Linked DNA regions of Caenorhabditis elegans. The protein of the gene in region 2 interacts with the protein of the main gene of each other region in a pairwise test. Each region holds a gene or a part of one and is shown on either strand. Other genes may lie near its edges.

Evidence for each region.
Region 1: the proteins of rbm-12 (region 2) and sma-1 interact in a two-hybrid assay, tested with the Caenorhabditis elegans proteins (one large-scale study listed by BioGRID).

Annotation. Positions count from the first base shown.
Region 1 is NC_003283.11:11,897,691-11,902,473, forward strand, and holds the start of sma-1 (Spectrin beta chain), read left to right. Parts: upstream 1-1,758; 5' UTR 1,759-1,873; coding exon 1,874-1,940; intron 1,941-2,217; exon of another isoform or gene 2,218-2,389; intron 2,390-3,417; coding exon 3,418-3,680; intron 3,681-4,305; coding exon 4,306-4,485; intron 4,486-4,783.
Region 2 is NC_003279.8:10,120,416-10,125,468, forward strand, and holds the start of rbm-12 (RRM domain-containing protein), read left to right. Parts: upstream 1-2,043; 5' UTR 2,044-2,103; coding exon 2,104-2,307; intron 2,308-4,968; coding exon 4,969-5,053. Other genes in the region: Y106G6D.5 (Helicase ATP-binding domain-containing protein), read right to left, coding at 1-29, 84-382, 430-512, 623-892, 937-1,016, 1,068-1,429, 1,472-1,663.

The sequences.
Region 1 (4,783 bases), on a different chromosome or scaffold from region 2:
TCTCCTATTCGCTAATACTAAACGAAACTTATCGCATTTACATTCTCACACTTCCACTTTTCAAAAAAGTAAAGAATACTACTTGTAAGGTGGTAGTGGACGACTGTCGGTGTCGGTTTTGTCGAGATTTCGTCTTTCATTCGACTGATCGGACAACTAGATACACTGAATTAGGTGGTGAAAGAAACTTTTCTTTTGAAAAAGGAGAGACCTACGTTTTTCTTGTCCGTTTCATTTCACTGCCTTCTGCCAAAATATGTGTGTTTTCTCACTGTTTTATCATCCTTTCAAAGTCTTGATTTTTTGGCTCGCAGTTTTTATGGTTGTCGTGGAATTGTTTGGTTCTCTGTTCCTCTTTGCCACAAAAAGTTTGTTGACTGTAGGTTAAAATTCAGTACTCTTTTAAAGATTTTTTTTACTGTAAACTACACGATTGTGAAAGAAACTTAGTCGTATTTTGTCAGCTTCAGATTTCGGCAAATGTTTGAGTCGGGAGTACAGCTCTGTTTATCTACATTTCCATTCTCTTTTCAAAAGTTGTTTCCCAAAACACCTGTCGACCTGTTACCCGTCCATAAATCATGCCAATATCATTGTCAATATGACGGCGTTTATGGTCAAGTATACCTCAACGAAATGCGTCAACTCTGACGCATCCGTGTTGACAGACGAACTCAACTCATCATAAGTACACAAATGGAAACGTATACACGCGTTGAATGAATAGATTGAATTCCTAGAAATGGGTGTGTTTTTTCCTTGAAGAATTGATCCATATGCGTTGTCGAAAAGTTGTTCTAAAATAATTTTCTGAATAACTAGAAGTTTTACAGTAATTAAAGTTTTTCGTTTGTTCAGAGATACTTAGTATTCTTAAGTTGCCTGTGCATATTCCTGTCATGCCTGTTTAAAGTAACTCCAGTGGGATTAACTATCAGAAACTCTCCCTAAAATAATATACGAATATCATAATAAGACTTTTATTTGAAAAAGTTTTTTGTAGGCAAACACCAAAATAACTAAATGTCCTCCACTCATAATTTTTGAAGTAGTCCGAAACATTTTAATATTCTCATATTTGGATTATGTTTTAAGCATTTTATAGGTCCAAAAATGAGGCATTGTTTTAAACATTTCCAAAAACCGACATTTTCGAAAATTGGCAATTTGCCAAAACTTTGAACAAGAACATGTATGATGTCTTTTTCTAGAAGTCAACAAATATTGTCAACAATAAACAAGAAATCATAAAAAACTATAATAATAAGTGGGCTGCTCATGGATAAGAACAAAAAGCGGTGTTCTTCCTGGCTCTTGAAACAGACATGTTTGAACTCAAGTGCCCCACTGTGGCGGTCAGCTATTTTTGTGTTTGTCAATTTCCGCCACCGGAATCCTCGATTTCTCGCCCATTTCGGCCACCACTCAATTGTTGCCGCCGCTGAACATTCCTTCCGTTCTTTTCCCGTCAGGCGAATACACATATTCGATACTTTTTATCCATCGCGCCGATCGATGGATGTCTTCTAATCGTCTCCGACACTTTCTCCGTTACTTCTTTCTCTCTCTCATCATATTCGGATAGTATTGTATAGAGAGACTCGGCAAAGGATAAACGAACGCCGGACGTCGTTGCAATTGAACACAGAAGAGATAAAGATTATATAAGAAGTTACCTTCTGAAGACTGAGGAGGAACCACCACGGCTACTGTCCGAGTGTCGCCGTGTTTCCTTGACCCTTTTTCTCCATATCTGACAAGAATCGAACACGGATTGTCAAGACTGTTCATAACGGAGGAAATACTACCACTTACTATTTTTCGACTTTGCTATATACATAATATATTCTTGCTAATATTGTGAAGCTTTATCATGTCGTATGTGTCGTTCGCGGCAAGCTACTCGCCTGGAGAAGGCAAAACAGTTCGAAATCTCAATGGTATGTGCTCTTTCATTTTAAATTCTTTGTAATAAGTTTTTCAAAAAAATTCTGAAATTATTAATTTGATTTTGGGCACATCAAAGTAGGTGCAAATTAGTTTCTGCAAACAAATTTTCTAAATTTTTATATTTGTGTTAAGTAGTCTTCTAAATTTTGGCGCTTGAATATATAATAGATCGAAGTAAAAAATTGTATGAATATTGCTAATTTTGGTGTTGTTGTGTTATATGCATTCTTGCACATTCTCACAGTCTGCTGCATTCCTTTCTCTCTTTATTTCTTCGTTCTCTCTATATGGAAGTGGCGAGAGGGTAAATATGCAACACTGCATACCATCAGTAGAGCGTCCATAGAGCCGTGAAGGAAAAGGGCACAGTGATAGGTGGTAGTGTTGAAGTGTCAATACAATTTAGTACTTTTTCTCTTTCCACATATTTTTGTCGCTATTCTAAAGTGAATCATTGTCCTCTGTGTCATTTCGATTTGCAATTTACCAAGTATGAGATATTTATGTATCTGTCTTATTGGGATCTCTATGCTGTGACAGATTGCTTCACTAAAATAAACAAAGTTCCAATAGCATTCCCTCCGTTGTCTAATCCATTTTCTGTTCTCACTTTTTGCCCCCTGGGTTCGTCTTTACTAATGAGTTCAGCAACCATCCCGCGGAGCACATTTCAGTGACTCATTCTTCTTTTTCGCAGTGATAAGACGCTGTTATCAGATGTAATAAACACGGGGAACGCCCCCACCTCCACAATATACCTTACTTTTAAAATTTTGAAAATTTTCGTGACGTTTCGAACTTTCTCTGCTTTTTTACTTGAAATTTAATCTGTCAATGTTTTTTGCTGGACATTTATAGCGATTGCTAAACACGTCTCTTTTTTGTTTAATTGCAGAATAGTTCCAACATTTTCTCAGAAAAAATTTCATTCGAAAAGCTTTCCAATTATTCCATTTTCTTTTTTGTAAGCCTTTTCTGATTCCAGTTAAATATTACTAACTTTGTTTGTGTCGCGTCGTCGTACGACATCCGACGTACAAATTCTTAATAAGTCATATTTCACGTGAACATTATTACGTGAACTTTGCCCACACACACAGAAAATAGTCGCACACATAGGAATGCCACGTGTACCACGTGTGCCACTCTTTCACTGTTTATGTTCGGCGAAACATTTCTTTATTTCAAAAATCTTTCACTTTTCTTGAAAGTATTTTGTTGCTGGATACAATTTCCCGTTTTAATTGTAAGTTAGGTTCAAACTTTTTCTCTGAAAAACGATGTGATTCCAAATATTAATAATCTTTGTCTTTTTTGTGCCACGTGGGCGTCTCTGTTGCATATCATTTTGATCATTATTCTCTTCAGAAATGTATATATAACTTGTCTTTCTTTTTTCTCTATCTATTAGTCACTTAACTACTCAAGAAACTTTCAAATTTATCAACTAAAATGTATATTTTTCAGACAAGGTAGAAGGGTATCGCAAGGAGATTGCCCCAAGTCGCGAAAACGTTGACTTCGATCACTTGCGAAGAACACCTAGAGATCCTTTACCGGAGAACGACTATCAGGCGACGAGCAGTACTGGATTATCGAGTGGGGAAGTAAAACCCTACCAGTACCGCGACTATCACCAACATCAGAAGCACGAGTATTACGGCGAAGGAGTGAACGACGGTGTATCTGAAGACAACGTTGAAGACAAAATGAGAAAATACGAAATGCAGGCAAGTTTATATTTATGAACTAGACAGGCTTTTTAAAGTAGCATCAACCTGTAGATCGAAAATGAATGTTTAAACCTATTATGATTGGATTTTAAGATAATCCGATTACGCGTTTGAAACATAAATCCCAATTTTGCCAATAGTCAAGCCAACACATCTAATATTTTTGTCAGATTGTAGTAGTTGTTTATATTTGCTCTAAAAGTCATGCCGAAAAAGTTAATTTATTCAATATCTATGAAATCAACAGCTTCATCTCCAACCCCAAGTGTTAGAACATTACCTGAAGAACAGGTAGTTGCTGTTTTTTTGTTTTATAAATTGTTCATGACTCATGAACATTTGGAGATCATTCATTTTCTTAAAGTAGTCAGCTGACGTGCTCTCATACACTCTATGTTATTTCTGTTTATCATTAAGGTCGGCAAGCGTCTCTCCCGGTTAGGAAGGCTATGCTGTCAAAACGGAAAGACGCTGAGCTAGTAAATATTTGTTTTTCCTTATATGTAACAATTTTGGTTCCGTAATATTATTCTGGAAAGTTTTAAAGATCCGAAAAAAAACTGAGAACGTTTAGAAATATTTAACAGTTCAATTAGCATCAAGTTCATAATGATTTTTTCAGGTTCGTGTTCCAACAAGTGGTGCACCACCAGTTCGCGCAGATGCCAATGGAACAGATCAAGACGAGTTCAATAATGAGACACTGTACTTTGAAAGATCACGCATTCGGACACTGCAGGACGAACGTGTGCACATTCAGAAGAAGACGTTCACAAAATGGTGCAACTCCTTTCTTAATCGGGTAAGTTGTGATAACAACTGATTGGAGTATTTGATTCTATAACGGCGGTCATCGTTAACACGAGAGTGAATAAGAGAGACGGGTAGAATTAGAGGGAATAGGTGAGGGAGAAAGGTTCAATTAGTCGGAAGAATTGTTTACGGAAAGAGAAGAGGATAATGCAACGGGAAAGTAATGCGGACCAAGATGACCTTGCAAATTCCCTTATCTTTATCTGGAGATCAGTTTGCATGCAAGAACGAAAGGAATGTTCGGATGAAAACCAATGAAATCAACTGAATTCATTCGTTGCATATGG
Region 2 (5,053 bases):
GGGAAAGCTTGAAGTTGCCTTTCATCGCTCTGAAATAATTTTTGGATATCCTCAAACTCAACTAGACATTTTTGAAAACTCACTTGTCTGATAAAACAACGGCAGGCAACTGTTTCTGATCTCCAACAAGAATGAGTTTCTTACAAGATGGTGTGGTTAATACTGGCACCCAAGTCGCAGGTTCCGTACATTGTGCAGCTTCATCAACAATCATGACATCTGCATTCCAATGATACTCCGGTAGTTTTTGAATTGAAGATGTTCCCAATGTTGAGAAAACAGCAAGTTTTGGATAGAAGATACTTCGAAAAATAGAATTTCGAATTAAATAGTATTCATATGACATCTTTTTATAGAGAGGATCGGATGTACTCATTGTTGACTGAAAATTAAAATTATTGAGGATAGGGATGATTAACACTCACTTACAAGTTGCTTTTTGATTTCTTCTAACTTTGAAGCGGATTTGTGGTTTTGAAACTCATCTTTCGTGTTTGCGAGGAGGCACAGTTCTGAAACAACATACAATTAAATATTGGCTTTACAGAAGTTAAATTTAACTTTTTCAAGGATATTCTTGTGAAAGTATAGATATTTGAAAAAAAAAATTACAAATTCTTACGCTGTTCGGCTTTCTCTTCAGGCATTTCTTCAATCATTCTTCCCGTGGTTGCATCCATTGCATTCCGTACAGCAACGTGTGTTGGGGCACAAACCAAAACTTTCTTTTTCTTTTTCATCAGTTGATGAACAATTTCAGCAATCACACGAGTTTTTCCAGTTCCTGGTGGTCCTTGAATACATAATAGATTTCTTTGTGTGTTCATTGCTGCTGAAACTGCTGCTACCTGACTTGGATTGAGTGTTTCCGGAAGATTTCCAATTTTTCTGTCTGAAAACTTTTAATTGAGGAGAATTCAACTTCTTTGAAAATACCATGAATAGAGGGCATTGGAATTGATCGATAGGCGAGATTGACTAAATGGACACTATCACTGGATAATGATGATGGATTCCTGAAAAATTGAATACATATTTTCAAGTCTGGTATACGGTAGCCACCATACTTAATTACACTTTGAAGAAATTTTAGAGCTCCGCTGTTTGTTGATGGAGTGAGAATGTAATTGAGTGTTGAGAAATCCACATTTTTATCGTCGTAAGCGCATACTTTCACGATTCCAGCAGTACAATCAACGACATGCCCATCGGACACTTTTTGCAAATGACCATCTTCATTCAGTTTGTTCAACAATACTGGAGTTCCTGCTTTAAGCCATCTCGTTCTTAAAATTGCGTCACCAGATAGGGTAATTACCTCTCCACAATATGAATCGTAATATTTTGAAGTCACGATCAGATTCCCAACGCAGAGCCCACGTTCTTCGATCACTCTCCATCCTACTTTGTTCCGGATCATCTCATCAAGCTGAAAATATAATATATTTTTGATCCCGATTCAGATTTTTACTTTTTCAAATTGCGCTTCGATTTCTGCTTCAAAGATCTTCGGCCATTCTCTAACATTGTCCAAAAATTTTGGTGTCAGAGAGATCTTATTCTTCGGTTGCTTTTTGAGAAGTCGGGAAGATTTTTTCAAGGATTGCGCTGAAGTCGATAGTTTGCATAGAGTTCCATAATTGAGTGATCGCAATAATTTCATCGTTCATTTCATTTAGATTTCCACCTGAAAAATCCATTAAAAATTGCAATTAATTGCATAATTTGCCATTTTCTGTTTTTAAATTCGCAGTGGAGCGAATTTACTGACACGCGACGCGCACGCAACGCTTTGCGTAGCAGCTTTTTTTCTTGTCGATTTTTGCTCTCGTTAGTCAATATTTTCGGTTTTTACACGTTTTCAGCGAATTTTTAATAGTTTCAGTTAGGTTTTTTGTTTTCTAAAGATTTGTTTCTGAAGGTATATCTATTTTCAAGGTGAAAATATGCAAAAAATGGTCACCTGCCGTCGTCTCTCTGAATTTTATTGTCATTCTATATTTCTGCAATTTAGTTCATTGTCTCATGCTGATATTTCATTCCAGATTTGAAGCGAACTAATTAAAGTTAGGAGTTTGATATATCCTCCATTTTTTGACGAGGATGTCGGTGATAATCCGTCTGAAAAATTTGCCGATGACGGCAGGCGCTTCGGATGTCCGTACATTTTTCACCGGTTTGAAAATTCCTGATGGGGCTGTGCATATTATTGGCGGAGACGAGGGAGAAGTTTTCGTCGGATTTTCTTCCGATGATGATGCGAGGCTTGCAATGACAAAAGATCGGTTGATGATTCACGGGGCTGAGGTTTGTGTTGGGGTATTCAGAAAATCGATCCACGTCTTCCTGAACTGATCCACTCTGTATAGTTTCTTCTACAAGTATATAGTTGTTTTGTTAGTGAACCAGTGTATGATATACGCTTAAGATTGCAGTCTGGTCTTACAATAATCAAAATATTTCTGTGCTTGCACGTGTTATATGTTTCTCTAGTGAATGCAAAGCGGCCACCTAGTTTTTTGAACGCTCTTAATAGCAGAAAAGTGTTGCCAATTAAGCGAAGAACATTTAAAAATGTTTTGTGTTTAATTTAGCTATATGATGGACATTATTATTTCCGACTCTGAACTTTCCTGGTTATTATTAAATTTGTGTAATGGAATATTAGGAAAATAATTTAAACCACGCGGACGCAGCGGGAATGACTCCGATTCTGATTGCTGATCATTGTCGTCACACATAACATCTCTCCATATGTATCTAAAATACAGTTAAACAGGGTACACTAATTCCAACAGAAGAAGTACATACTAAAGTTGAAAATCCGAATTTTCATCAAAAAGCAGATAATGGAGTAATGCACTTTTTCGGACTATATGCCGGTTTCTGAAAAAGAAAACATTTTCCACAGAACACAAGAGAATAGTTAAATGGATTTAATAAAACAAATTTAGATTGACAATTTTCTGGCTTGCTGTTAATCATGAAAGATTGTAAGGGGTATTTTGTGGCTGACCTTTTTCGGTGAACGAGAAAACAGCAATCTTTTTTAAAACTGTATTTGTAGCTTTTGTAATCACGCGAAATGCTGAAAATTGAACATTGTGGATACGATTTTTCAGAAACAGACCCAGTTTTTTGATTGTCAGAAATGAATGCCTATTGGCATTCAGTACTGTTCAACAATTGTTAACAATAGTATTTTAAAATTTTGGTAGATTGGAAACTATTCGGTATCGAAAAACTAATTCATCCTTTGTTCTTCCCATTTTTAGCGATCGTACAATAGGCCTCTAAAAAATGTCGACTTTCCGGATGAAAAATTTCAATACTGATAAGGAAAATATACACTTCCAAACCTTTTCAACATTTACGTTGAAAATGAACAGTGTTTCGTCAAATCTGCATATAACATTTTATATCACAAAAAATGAAAAATGATTTTAGTTAATTCTAATAGTTGGATAACATCACAAACTACTTCAAAGTAAAACAACAATTATATCAACCTTGAAACGGAAAATTCATATAGCATTTTCGTGTTCTTTGCTAGATTCGAAATTGAATAACAGTTTTAACTTCAAAACTAGCGAAAAACTTTTATTTTTTCCTCCTGAATCACAGACAAATATCTCGCGATACACTCGACATATGAACCTCACAACAAGGAGAAAATAACAATCTCAAAAGCGGCATCAAGTTCAAACTTTTCGAATCCATCCTAAACAACAACATTTTAGGTGCATGTAACTTTTATGGGTTGCAGCGAATGTAATGTTGAACCTCTATTTTGAATTACCACATCGAAAAATGAAAGTGTGCAGAATATTTGACTCAATAAATATCTCGTAGCGAAGTCTACAGTAACTGTAAATTACTGCCGTAACGTCAAAAATAGACGCTGAGGTTACGGTAGCATTTCCAAAGTTACTGTAGACTTCGTAACGAGATAACCAAACTGAATTTGTATAAAATATGTTCCAATCACCTTTCAACACCAGAAAAATTAGGAATTATATGATATTTATAGGCTTTGATCTTCTTTTCCACCGCATTTGCTCTCCACTCTGAACTGGGTTATGCGAACTTAAAAATCACAGATGATCTGTGAACAACTAGGCGTCAGAATACTGCATTATTTTCAATCTCTGCATATATCCTAATTTTTATTACACTAGTTATTGACGCTTCAAAAAATTTATTTAAGTTCTGAAAATCAAACAATTTTCAGCGTTTTATAAAAACTTGTTGTTTTCTGGTTGAAATACTTCGAAGTAATTTTTCAAAAAGTTATTTTCTGAACATAATAAGTATTATTTACTGAAAGCACATTTTCATCAGAATGGATTAGGCAGCTTATTGAACTTTCATTGTGACTAGTTTTAAAAAAAATGTCATTGGGAAAATATTCAAGTTTTTGATGCATGAATCCACATTTGAAGGTCTCAGCACGATTGAAACATCGTTCATATCAAACATCACACAAGAGGGTGTGTGCCTTTAAGGGGTACTGTAGAAATCACTTCCCAGTTTTTTTTTCAATTTTATTTGATTTTTCCTCTTCTCCTCACTTTCCACCGCGCTAAAAAATAATCAAGTCATAACATTCCTCGAAAAGGTGCACGCTCTTCTGCCCTCACTTCATCTAAAATTATTTCGATCGTGCCGAAACCTGGAATCGTCATTTTACAAAAAACATTGCCAAACGTACTGAATAAATGGGAGAAATCCAAAATTATCACTAGGCTTTCTTCTCCCCGAAGCAGTTAATTTTTGAACTCAAATTGAAAATTTTAAATCGTCATGTCTGGCAAAATTTTCGTTTAATTTTGAATATGTACCTCTCAAGTTGACAGTCAGTTGGGGTTAAAAAAAAAATGTAAAAATGGATCAGTATCAGGAACGACTATGCTCGAGTCATTCTTATATGGAAATAATTATAACGTTTTCCCAACAAAATATTTTCAGGTTCGATTATTTCTCTCCTCCAAATCAGAACAGAACTCTGTAATCGCGGCGCGAAAAAATAACACATATACTTCTCCAGTATACA